2 linked regions of the Caenorhabditis elegans genome follow. The protein of the gene in region 2 interacts with the protein of the main gene of each other region in a pairwise test. Each region holds a gene or a part of one and is shown on either strand. Other genes may lie near its edges.

Region 1 (3,829 bases), on a different chromosome or scaffold from region 2:
ATCAAACAACAAGTTTTATTTTGTTTTGAAAATGTTTGATCTATGATCGGCTATGCCTTTGACCATATATTAATACCAAATACAAAAAAAAAAGATGAAACTCGGTCAGAGAACAGAATTATCACAGGAAATGAGATTTCCTGATTGGGAGTCTATACCTTGAATGTACATGTTCGCAATTTTATTACCTATTTTTTGGAATGGGAACTGGTTTTTTCTCGAAACCTTTGACCAAAGGAAACATCTAGAAAAATGAAATCAGCACATTTTTTGAGAGCAATTTAGAAAAGAAAAGACAATAAAATGAAACAAATTTCAATGTTTTTTTCTCGACTCTATTGTTAATATACTCTGAAGCGTAACAAAGGTGTGAATAGTGGATCTCCTATTGATCGGCAGGAATGACACGGAAGATGAGACGGACAGCCGGGAGAAAAAAGATATTACGGAAGATTTTGAGACGCAGATTGATGGGAATTGGACTTGTGACTTCTTGTTTTCCGGAGATTCTTTACTATATCATAATTTTATTGACAGATATCCTTCACTGGTGGGCTGAAAATATAATAGAGTCCCCAGAAATACGGCACCGGGTCTCGTCGCGAAACACCATCATTAAATAGAAAAGTGAGTGTGCCTTTAGAGATTACTGTAATTTCTTTTTATTGATTTACGAAAAAATAATTTTCCACTAATTTTTCGATGAAGAACTTTTTATTTTTCGAAAAGTTTACAAAAAAAACTTTAATACATCCACTGAAACAAAAATTTGAAGTTACAGTACTCTTTAAAGGCACACACCTTTTTGTGTGCGAAAATTTGACGAGACCTGCTACCGTATTCTTTGGGAAAAATCATGAAATTTATCTGGCCAGATCTGGACAATTATAATTAAAAAAATATATTTTCAGGAAAATCTGATTGAATATTGGAAATCGTTGTTTATTCTCAGAGATTATTATTTGCAAAATCTGCATTTATATGTCTAAATAACACTAGCTAGTGCACTAGGCTAAAAATTGAAAGATTCATTATTTCAAAATTTGCAAAATTTTACCTCCACCGAGGTCTGAGTTGAGTAAAAACATTTTGTTCACATTTTCGCGATTGAATTGATTATTTAAAAAATTAAGCACTAATAAAATATATTTTTAACGTCGAATATTAAAATTTTTCCAAGAACTTTGTTCTCCAGAATTGTTCATCTCGAAATCTGCAGCATCTCTGGTGCCAGCAAGTGCGCTCCAATGCGAACATTTCATTTAAATTTTTTTTTTTTCGTTCTTTTTTTAACAGATTTTATCAATTTTTTGCGATTTTCATTATTTTTTCAAGTAAAAAACATATTTAATGTTATTTCTTATATTTCACAATATTAATTCAACTATTAAAAAACAATTGCATCGATTTCTGGGTGGGTTATCATGCGAAACCGATAAAAACCGTTATTATTATTATTATAATGACTCATAAGTTTCTCCAAGGAATTCGAATTCTGCTTTCACATTCCTTTCCGACCGTTCACTTTCTTCCTATATTTACTCTCCTCGTTTTCCTCTGTATTTCTCCAACTTTTCGCCTTATTATCTGCGTCTCTCTCCGCTTTTGATTTCTGTATGTATTTGCGATGCAAATCGATCGTATGCGGGTTTTTCCTTTTTTAACACAGCTTTCTCCTCTTAAAATTCACTCAAAAATCATGATTTTCATTTCAGCAGTTTCACAATGAACGAAGAGGGTGGATATCTTGGAGCGATGACATATCAATGCCTGTACAGTCCTGTGATGGAAAAAATTAAGTGGGTTTCAAGAAATATCAGTTTTTAAACATAATAATTTAAAAAATATATTTTAGACAGCAACATCGTGATGATCCAAGAGCTTCTCTCGCCCTAAACGTAAGCTATTCTATATAAGAATATTTTCTATGAATTTTATACTGTTAAACGAAAAAAAATAAATTAACAAAGAATTATTCAGAAACTGCACACTGCACTGACCACTTGTGAACAAGCTTCTCCGTCGTTTCTCTATGATTTCACAAAAGTTTTGCTGGATGACTCGGAATTGAGCGTTAATCTGCAGGAATCCTATCTGAGAATGCATGACACCTCGCCGACAAATGATTTGATTGTCAGTGGATATGAGCAGAATGCTGATTATAAAGAGCTCACGAAACGGTAATCAAATTAGATAATTTTTTTCAAAATTCCTGGCGTACGAAAAAAATTACAGAGCAATCGAGCTTCGTCGTGTTCTGTCCCGGGTTCCCGAAGAAATGTCGGATCGTCACGCCTTCCTGGAGACCATCAAGCTCATCGCATCATCAATCAAGAAACTTCTTGAGGCAATAAACGCCGTCTACAGAATTGTTCCACTCACTGCGCAGCCGGCCGTTGAGAAACGTAAACGGGAATTTGTGCACTACTCGAAAAGATTCAGTAACACTTTGAAGACGTATTTTAAAGATCAGAATGCAAATCAGGTTCGTGGGAAAAAATGTGCTTTTTTACTTAAATGCGTCGAAATTTGTCCTTGACTCCGAATATCTATGTGAAAAATTCAAAAGCCCCGGTTTTTCTGGGAAAAAATTCGCACTGAAATATAAAATCAGGGAGATTTTTTTTTAATTTTTTCACATCGATATTCGGCAAATTTGGACTTTTTTTTAAAATAAAAACCTGTAAATTTTCCCCAAATCTTGGGAAAATCAAACTAAATTCTTGAATAATATTAAAATCCATTTTTTTAAAACAAATTCTGAGCCTAAATTCAATGTTTGCAGGTATCCGTGTCCGCCAACCAACTGGTTTTCCAAACGACAATGATAGTCCGCACAATCAACGAAAAACTTCGCCGAGGATAAGCTCACCCATATGGCGGCTTATAACTGTGATCTACTAGACGGCTCTTTCCTTTTGCATGTGTTTTACTTTCATTTTTTGTTCACTTAATTTCTTGTTCTCATCCACACACTCATCACTTTATACATCGGATCTGCACACTTTCTTCTTTCTATGATTTTTCCTTTCCCAATTTTCTGTTTATTGACTGAAATTTTAGGAAAATGATTAACGTATTATGCTTTATATGGTTTTTCGGATTTTTTTCACTTCAAAAATATTGTAATAAGTAGCTCAATTATCATTCTTCCTTTCTTTTTCATGTGCCTTTCTTTGATTTTTCCTCGTTTTTTCACCCACTGATGTACTAGATTTTTTTCCATAAGTCGGTTTCTTCTCCAAATAACGTGATAAATTATTCAGAAATTTTTAATATTTTAATTGACTGTATTGCAATTCTTGTTGTCGAAAACTTATTATATATCTAATTAACTTCACTTTAAAAAATTTCAGACCAATTTTAAATTAATTTCAGAATTTAAAAAATGGATGACGAAGAGGATCTGTTCGGCTCGGATGCCGAAGATGACAAGGAGAAGGTGGTAAATCCGGAGGATAAGAAGCACGTGCTGAGACGAGATTTGAGATCAATGGTCTATGGCTTTGGAGATGATAAGGTTGGTAACAGGGCTGTGCAACTTTTTGAATCAAAATTTATTTGCATTTCTATAACAAATTAAAAAGAAATTAAATGAGCGGTTTTTCTAAGATTCCGATTGATAATTTCCTGAATTGTTTATAAATAAATGTTTCAGGAGCCATACGACAAGACCCTGGACACTCTTGAGGCCATTGTCCTAAACTACATCAAAGAGTTATGCCAACTGGCGATGAAAGTTGGAAAACCGGATAAAATGGCACTTGAGGACATTCACTATCTGATTCGTCGTGATCCGAAGAAGTTCTCGAGAGTCAAGGATCTGTTG
Region 2 (4,900 bases):
GCTCCAGCTGGTGCAACAAAAAAATTGGCGAAATTTGAATTTTGACGTGCCATAAAATATTTTTAAGGCAATTTTCGAGGTTTAATTATGAATTTCGGTCAATTCGGGCCAGTTTTAGACAAATTTCGGCGAAAACTGGAGAAAAAACGAGACCCGAAGAACTCGGGGGATGTCCAATTGGGGGGATTACCAACTCGGGGGATTGGCCTCGCCCACAGAACCGTGGCCAGCAATACGCCCATTTCTGCAACTGCCGCACGGTTTTAAAATTATTTTTTCTTGTTAATTCTCGCTCTATTGAGAAAAATACGGTTTTAAAACTGTATTTTTCTCAATAGAGCGAGAATTAACAAGAAAAAATAATTTTAAAACCGTGCGGCAGTTGCAGAAATGGGCGTATTGCAGGTTTTAAAACTGTATTTTTCTCAATAGAGCGAGAATTAACAAGAAAAAATAATTTTAAAACCGTGCGGCAGTTGCAGAAATGGGCGTATTGCAAGCCACGGTTCTGTGGGTGGGGCCAATCCCCCGAGTTGGTAATCCCCCCAATTGGACATCCCCCGAGTTCTTCGGGTCTAGAAAAACCGGTGAAAAACCGTCAAATAGCAAAAAATGACTCTCGTAAATCTAAACAAGCACTCTTTGTTTAGCGCGGAGTGTCGTTGCGCGGCAACATTTGCCGTTTGAAAAATCTCATGGGGAACCAAATTAAAATCGCAATTTCACGCTGAAGGGAAATTTTTTCGAATTTTTTCACTTTGATATTCGGAATCAGGGGAAACTTTGGAGTCATTTAAAAATATTTCTCAGATTTCGCAAAAAACGCATGTTGAGTTTAAATATGCCTAAATTAACATGAAAATTACGGGAAAAAATACCACATTAAGCAGCAATTTACTAAAAACTGATAACCGATAACTGCAAATTGACAAAATTGAATATTTTAGCTAATTTTTCAGTTTTTTGTGTCACTTTTTCTCAAAATATCGCATCCTTTTTACCTGAATAAGGTGAAACTACTTCTTCTGAATTATTAGCTAAACTTTCTACTTTCGTAGTAACATATCTTCGGACATCTTTCTCGAATTGAAGGGGTTCTGAAATAAAAAAGTGTCTTATAAATAATTGTTTTTCTCCAATCAAGTATCCAATTAACCTATCGCCGGAACAAAATGTTGTAGAACATGATTCCAGTGTTCTTCAATTTCTTTTTCCTCTACAGCTACTGCTAGCACAATCGAAATGTGTACATCTTCATCATCAAAATCGTAAATTATTCGGTATGGAGGGGGTCTCGTGTCGAAAACCGAATCGATTGTTGCAACGATAAGAGACGAAAAGCCACGTGTTCCGTGTCCTTTTCGACGTTGGAGTTGGAAGTATTTGCTGGCTTTCTCGCATGACCTGGAATTTTGAAAAGATAAAGAATTTATTTTTTGTACGGAATAATTTAAATGGGGGGAGTAGAGTTTGTGGGTTTTTTCCTTAAAGGTGCACCACGTGGTACCAGGCTGTCCCATTACGGTTTGATCTACAAAAAATGCGGGAATTTTTTGACAAAAAAACTGTGACGTCAGCACGTTCTTAACCATGCAAAATAAGTTGAGAACTCTGTGTCTCTTCTCCCGCATTTTTCGGAGATCAAACCGAAAAGAGACATCCTGACACCACCTTCAGGTGGAGCACCGAAACTTGAAATTTTGCTTTTTTAAACCAAAAATGTCCCAAAACTACCGAATATCGACACAAGACGTTTTGAAAATTTCTCAAAAAAAAGTTATGGCGATTCAAAGTTCTGGAAAAAAGGCTAATATAGCTAAAATCACAATTTTTTCCAACTTCTCGGTGTCGCAGCGTCTGGAACTAAATTTTTATTCAATTATCACTTTTTAATAAATATTGTGGTCTTTTATTAGGCGTTTATTCGTTGATTTAAGTACACTTTCGGTCAGTTGGGCACAGAAATGCCCGAAAATGTACTTTAATCAACGAATAAACTTCTAATAAAATCCAGACCTTTGAGCCACCATAACTTTTTTAAAAGAAATTTTCAAAATGTCTCATTACGAAATTCGGTAGTTTTGGGTCATTTTTGGTCTAAAAAAGAAAAGTCTCAAATTTCGGTACTCCACCTTTAAAAGTTATTTTAAAAGTCTAAAACTGACTGGAAATGATCGAAATTTGTGAAGAGAATTATTAAAAAAGCCAAACTCTGTAAAATCTGAAATTTCGCCAACTTTTCCTTGTCACAGCAGCTGGAGTACACTTTCTATCAAGTTATAACACTTTATTGCATATTCTAGTCGTTTATTTCGCGCAGATTCGATGATTTCGGCCAATTTTCGTCTTTTTGTTTTTTTGAGCGCCTTGTAGACGTAAAATGTGCTTAAATCATCGAATCTGCGCGAGATAAATGACAAAAATATGCAAAAAGGGTGATAATTCGATAAAAACTGTATTCCAGTTCCTGCAACAAAGATAAGTGAACGAAATTTCAGATTTTAGCAAATTTGGCTCTTTTTTGACCATTATTTTATGAATTTCGACCGTTAATATTAAAACACGGGAAAGACAACAAAAATGTACAATTTAGAGTTAAAATTCATTAAAAACTAATTTCCGATCACTGCATGTTATTTAGAAAAAATTGAAGATTCAAGTTAAATTTAGTAATTTTTATTCGAAAAATTGTTAAATTATCAATAATATTGCAATTTTTTAAGTTTTAATCGTTAAAATTGCGTTAGCTCGTTGATTCAGCCACATTAGGCCCTAAAAACCAAAATTGGGAGCCGATCGGCTTAAAATTTGCCGAAATTAACAAAATAACGCTAAATTAAATATAAAACTGCGCCATAAGCTGTTGCAACAAAGAAAAATTGTCGAATTTCTCAATTTTAGCAGAATTAAAGCAGAGTTTTATTCAATTTTAAACAGGAAAAATCAAAAAAACTCTACTCCTCGTTCAAATAATTTCTTACCAAAACGATTGTGCCAATATTAAATGCTCAGGCTTTACCCACACCATAGAATCTGAAATAATTAGAAATTGAGAAAAAAGAACAAGAATTCAAAGGTCAGTGGGGACAGTATATATTTATCGAATGAATCGATATTTGCCTGTCTATTACAGACATCGAAAAGGGAGAGGGTAAGAGAAGCAGAGAAAAGGAGGGTAAACATCGCTTGAACGTCACTTTTTTAGATGGAAATGAACTGAAAAAGCCAGTCATTTATTTTGTTTTTCACAATTTTAACATGGATTAATTTGAAAAAGTAACAAATAATTGTGTTGGCAAGGGGAAAAGCGAAAAAAAAGACAAACAAACAAAATTACAATGCAAATAGCGGGAGCAGCAAGTGCGCTCCGTTGCTAGCAGTGTTTCGGAATAAAAGTGCACATTTTTAGAGCATAATGCTCGGATTTTGCACTTAAATTCACCTTTTTATTGCTATAAATTCATATTTTACAGCGCACAGCAATGATAGGCGTTTGTGAGTGTCAAATATTGAAAAAGTAACGTTATTGAGCACAAATATTTGAAAAAATTGAAATTTTTATATGGAATCGTTGATTTTTCGACTTTAAACTTTTTAAAATCGATTTAATCCGAATAAAATTTAAAAAAAATAAATTTAATTGTGAAAAGAAAACAGTGTGCATTTTTGCGTAAAAGTGTTGCAGCGTAAGGGTTACTGAGACCCGAAGAACTCGGGGGATGTCCAATTGGGGGGATTACCAACTCGGGGGATTGGCCCCGCCCACAGAACCGTGGCTTGCAATACGCCCATTTCTGCAACTGCCGCACGGTTTTAAAATTATTTTTTCTTGTTAATTCTCGCTCTATTGAGAAAAATACGGTTTTAAAACTGTATTTTTCTCAATAGAGCGAGAATTAACAAGAAAAAATAATTTTAAAACCGTGCGGCAGTTGCAGAAATGGGCGTATTGCAAGCCACGGTTCTGTGGGCGGGGCCAATCCCCCGAGTTGGTAATCCCCCCAATTGGACATCCCCCGAGTTCTTCGGGTCTCGGGTTACTGTATTAGTGACGCACAATTGCGTATTTGAACATTTTTTTGTTTTAATTTTGTTTTCTTTGCTTTTCCCATCTTTTCCGAGAAAATTTTGGGTTTTTTAAAGTTTATTAAAGTTTAAATATTTAATTCTATAGTTATTTTCTATTTTCCCTGCCCATTTTGCACTATTCTTCTGAAAATTCGTGAGAAATCAAGGTTTTTTTCGATTTCTAGAATTTTTTTTGGATTACCGAATTACACACCTGGAATCACTCCGGCCAGTGGAGCGCACTTGCACACCCCCCGCTTTTCTCAAACTACAGCGCGCTGCAGCGGCTCTCCTATATCTTCACCAAGAATGGTGTGAAATTCTGTGTTCAGTTGGCGCAGTGGGTAGTGCGCTCCGTTTGGTAGAAACACTATTTGGTTCGATTCTATGTAGGGTGTTTCTTTTTTTTTTTGTTAAAGTTTCACTTTTCTTTTTTTTTCCGGATAAAACTTATTTTTTGACAACTTTTAGCCCCTCAAAAAGCTCTGATAAAAGGCTTAGACGTCAGGTCCCAAAATTGAAAAAAAAAGTTCCAAAATTTTTATTAATTTTTTTTGTTTCTTTCTTTGTGAAGTTTTTTTTTGTAAATTCGATGAAAATCGAACGTTCCTTATGAAGGCACCCTTAAAGAATACAAGCTGGAGTAAAACCAGTGAGAAAAGCGGGGGTGTTCAAGTGCGCTCCGCTGGCCGGAGTGATTCCAGGTGTGCAATTCCGTTAGCGTAATTTTTTTAAATTTATAAATAACCATTTATAGCTTCCGGTCAGGTTCTTTCTCATTAAAACCACCACATTTTTGGTAAAGATTTTTATTTTAAAATAAACAAAAAAT

What was found. The genes of interacting proteins can lie anywhere in the genome.
Region 1: the proteins of tbc-9 (region 2) and ccm-3 interact in a two-hybrid assay, tested with the Caenorhabditis elegans proteins (one large-scale study listed by BioGRID).

What each region holds. Positions count from the first base shown.
Region 1 is NC_003280.10:10,605,162-10,608,990, reverse strand, and holds ccm-3 (Programmed cell death protein 10 homolog), read left to right. Parts: upstream 1-1,715; 5' UTR 1,716-1,725; coding exon 1,726-1,799; intron 1,800-1,855; coding exon 1,856-1,898; intron 1,899-1,980; coding exon 1,981-2,180; intron 2,181-2,235; coding exon 2,236-2,485; intron 2,486-2,785; coding exon 2,786-2,866; 3' UTR 2,867-3,274; downstream 3,275-3,829. Other genes in the region: taf-13 (Transcription initiation factor TFIID subunit 13), read left to right, coding at 3,389-3,520, 3,659-3,829. UniProt on the Caenorhabditis elegans protein: Involved in excretory canal elongation during postembryonic development. Plays a role in promoting Golgi stability, ER integrity and vesicle transport probably by regulating the activation of Rho GTPase cdc-42. Involved in fertility.
Region 2 is NC_003282.8:13,499,818-13,504,717, forward strand, and holds the start of tbc-9 (Rab-GAP TBC domain-containing protein), read right to left. Parts: upstream 3,040-4,900; 5' UTR 3,029-3,039; coding exon 2,982-3,028; intron 1,405-2,981; coding exon 1,157-1,404; intron 1,098-1,156; coding exon 1,002-1,097; intron 1-1,001.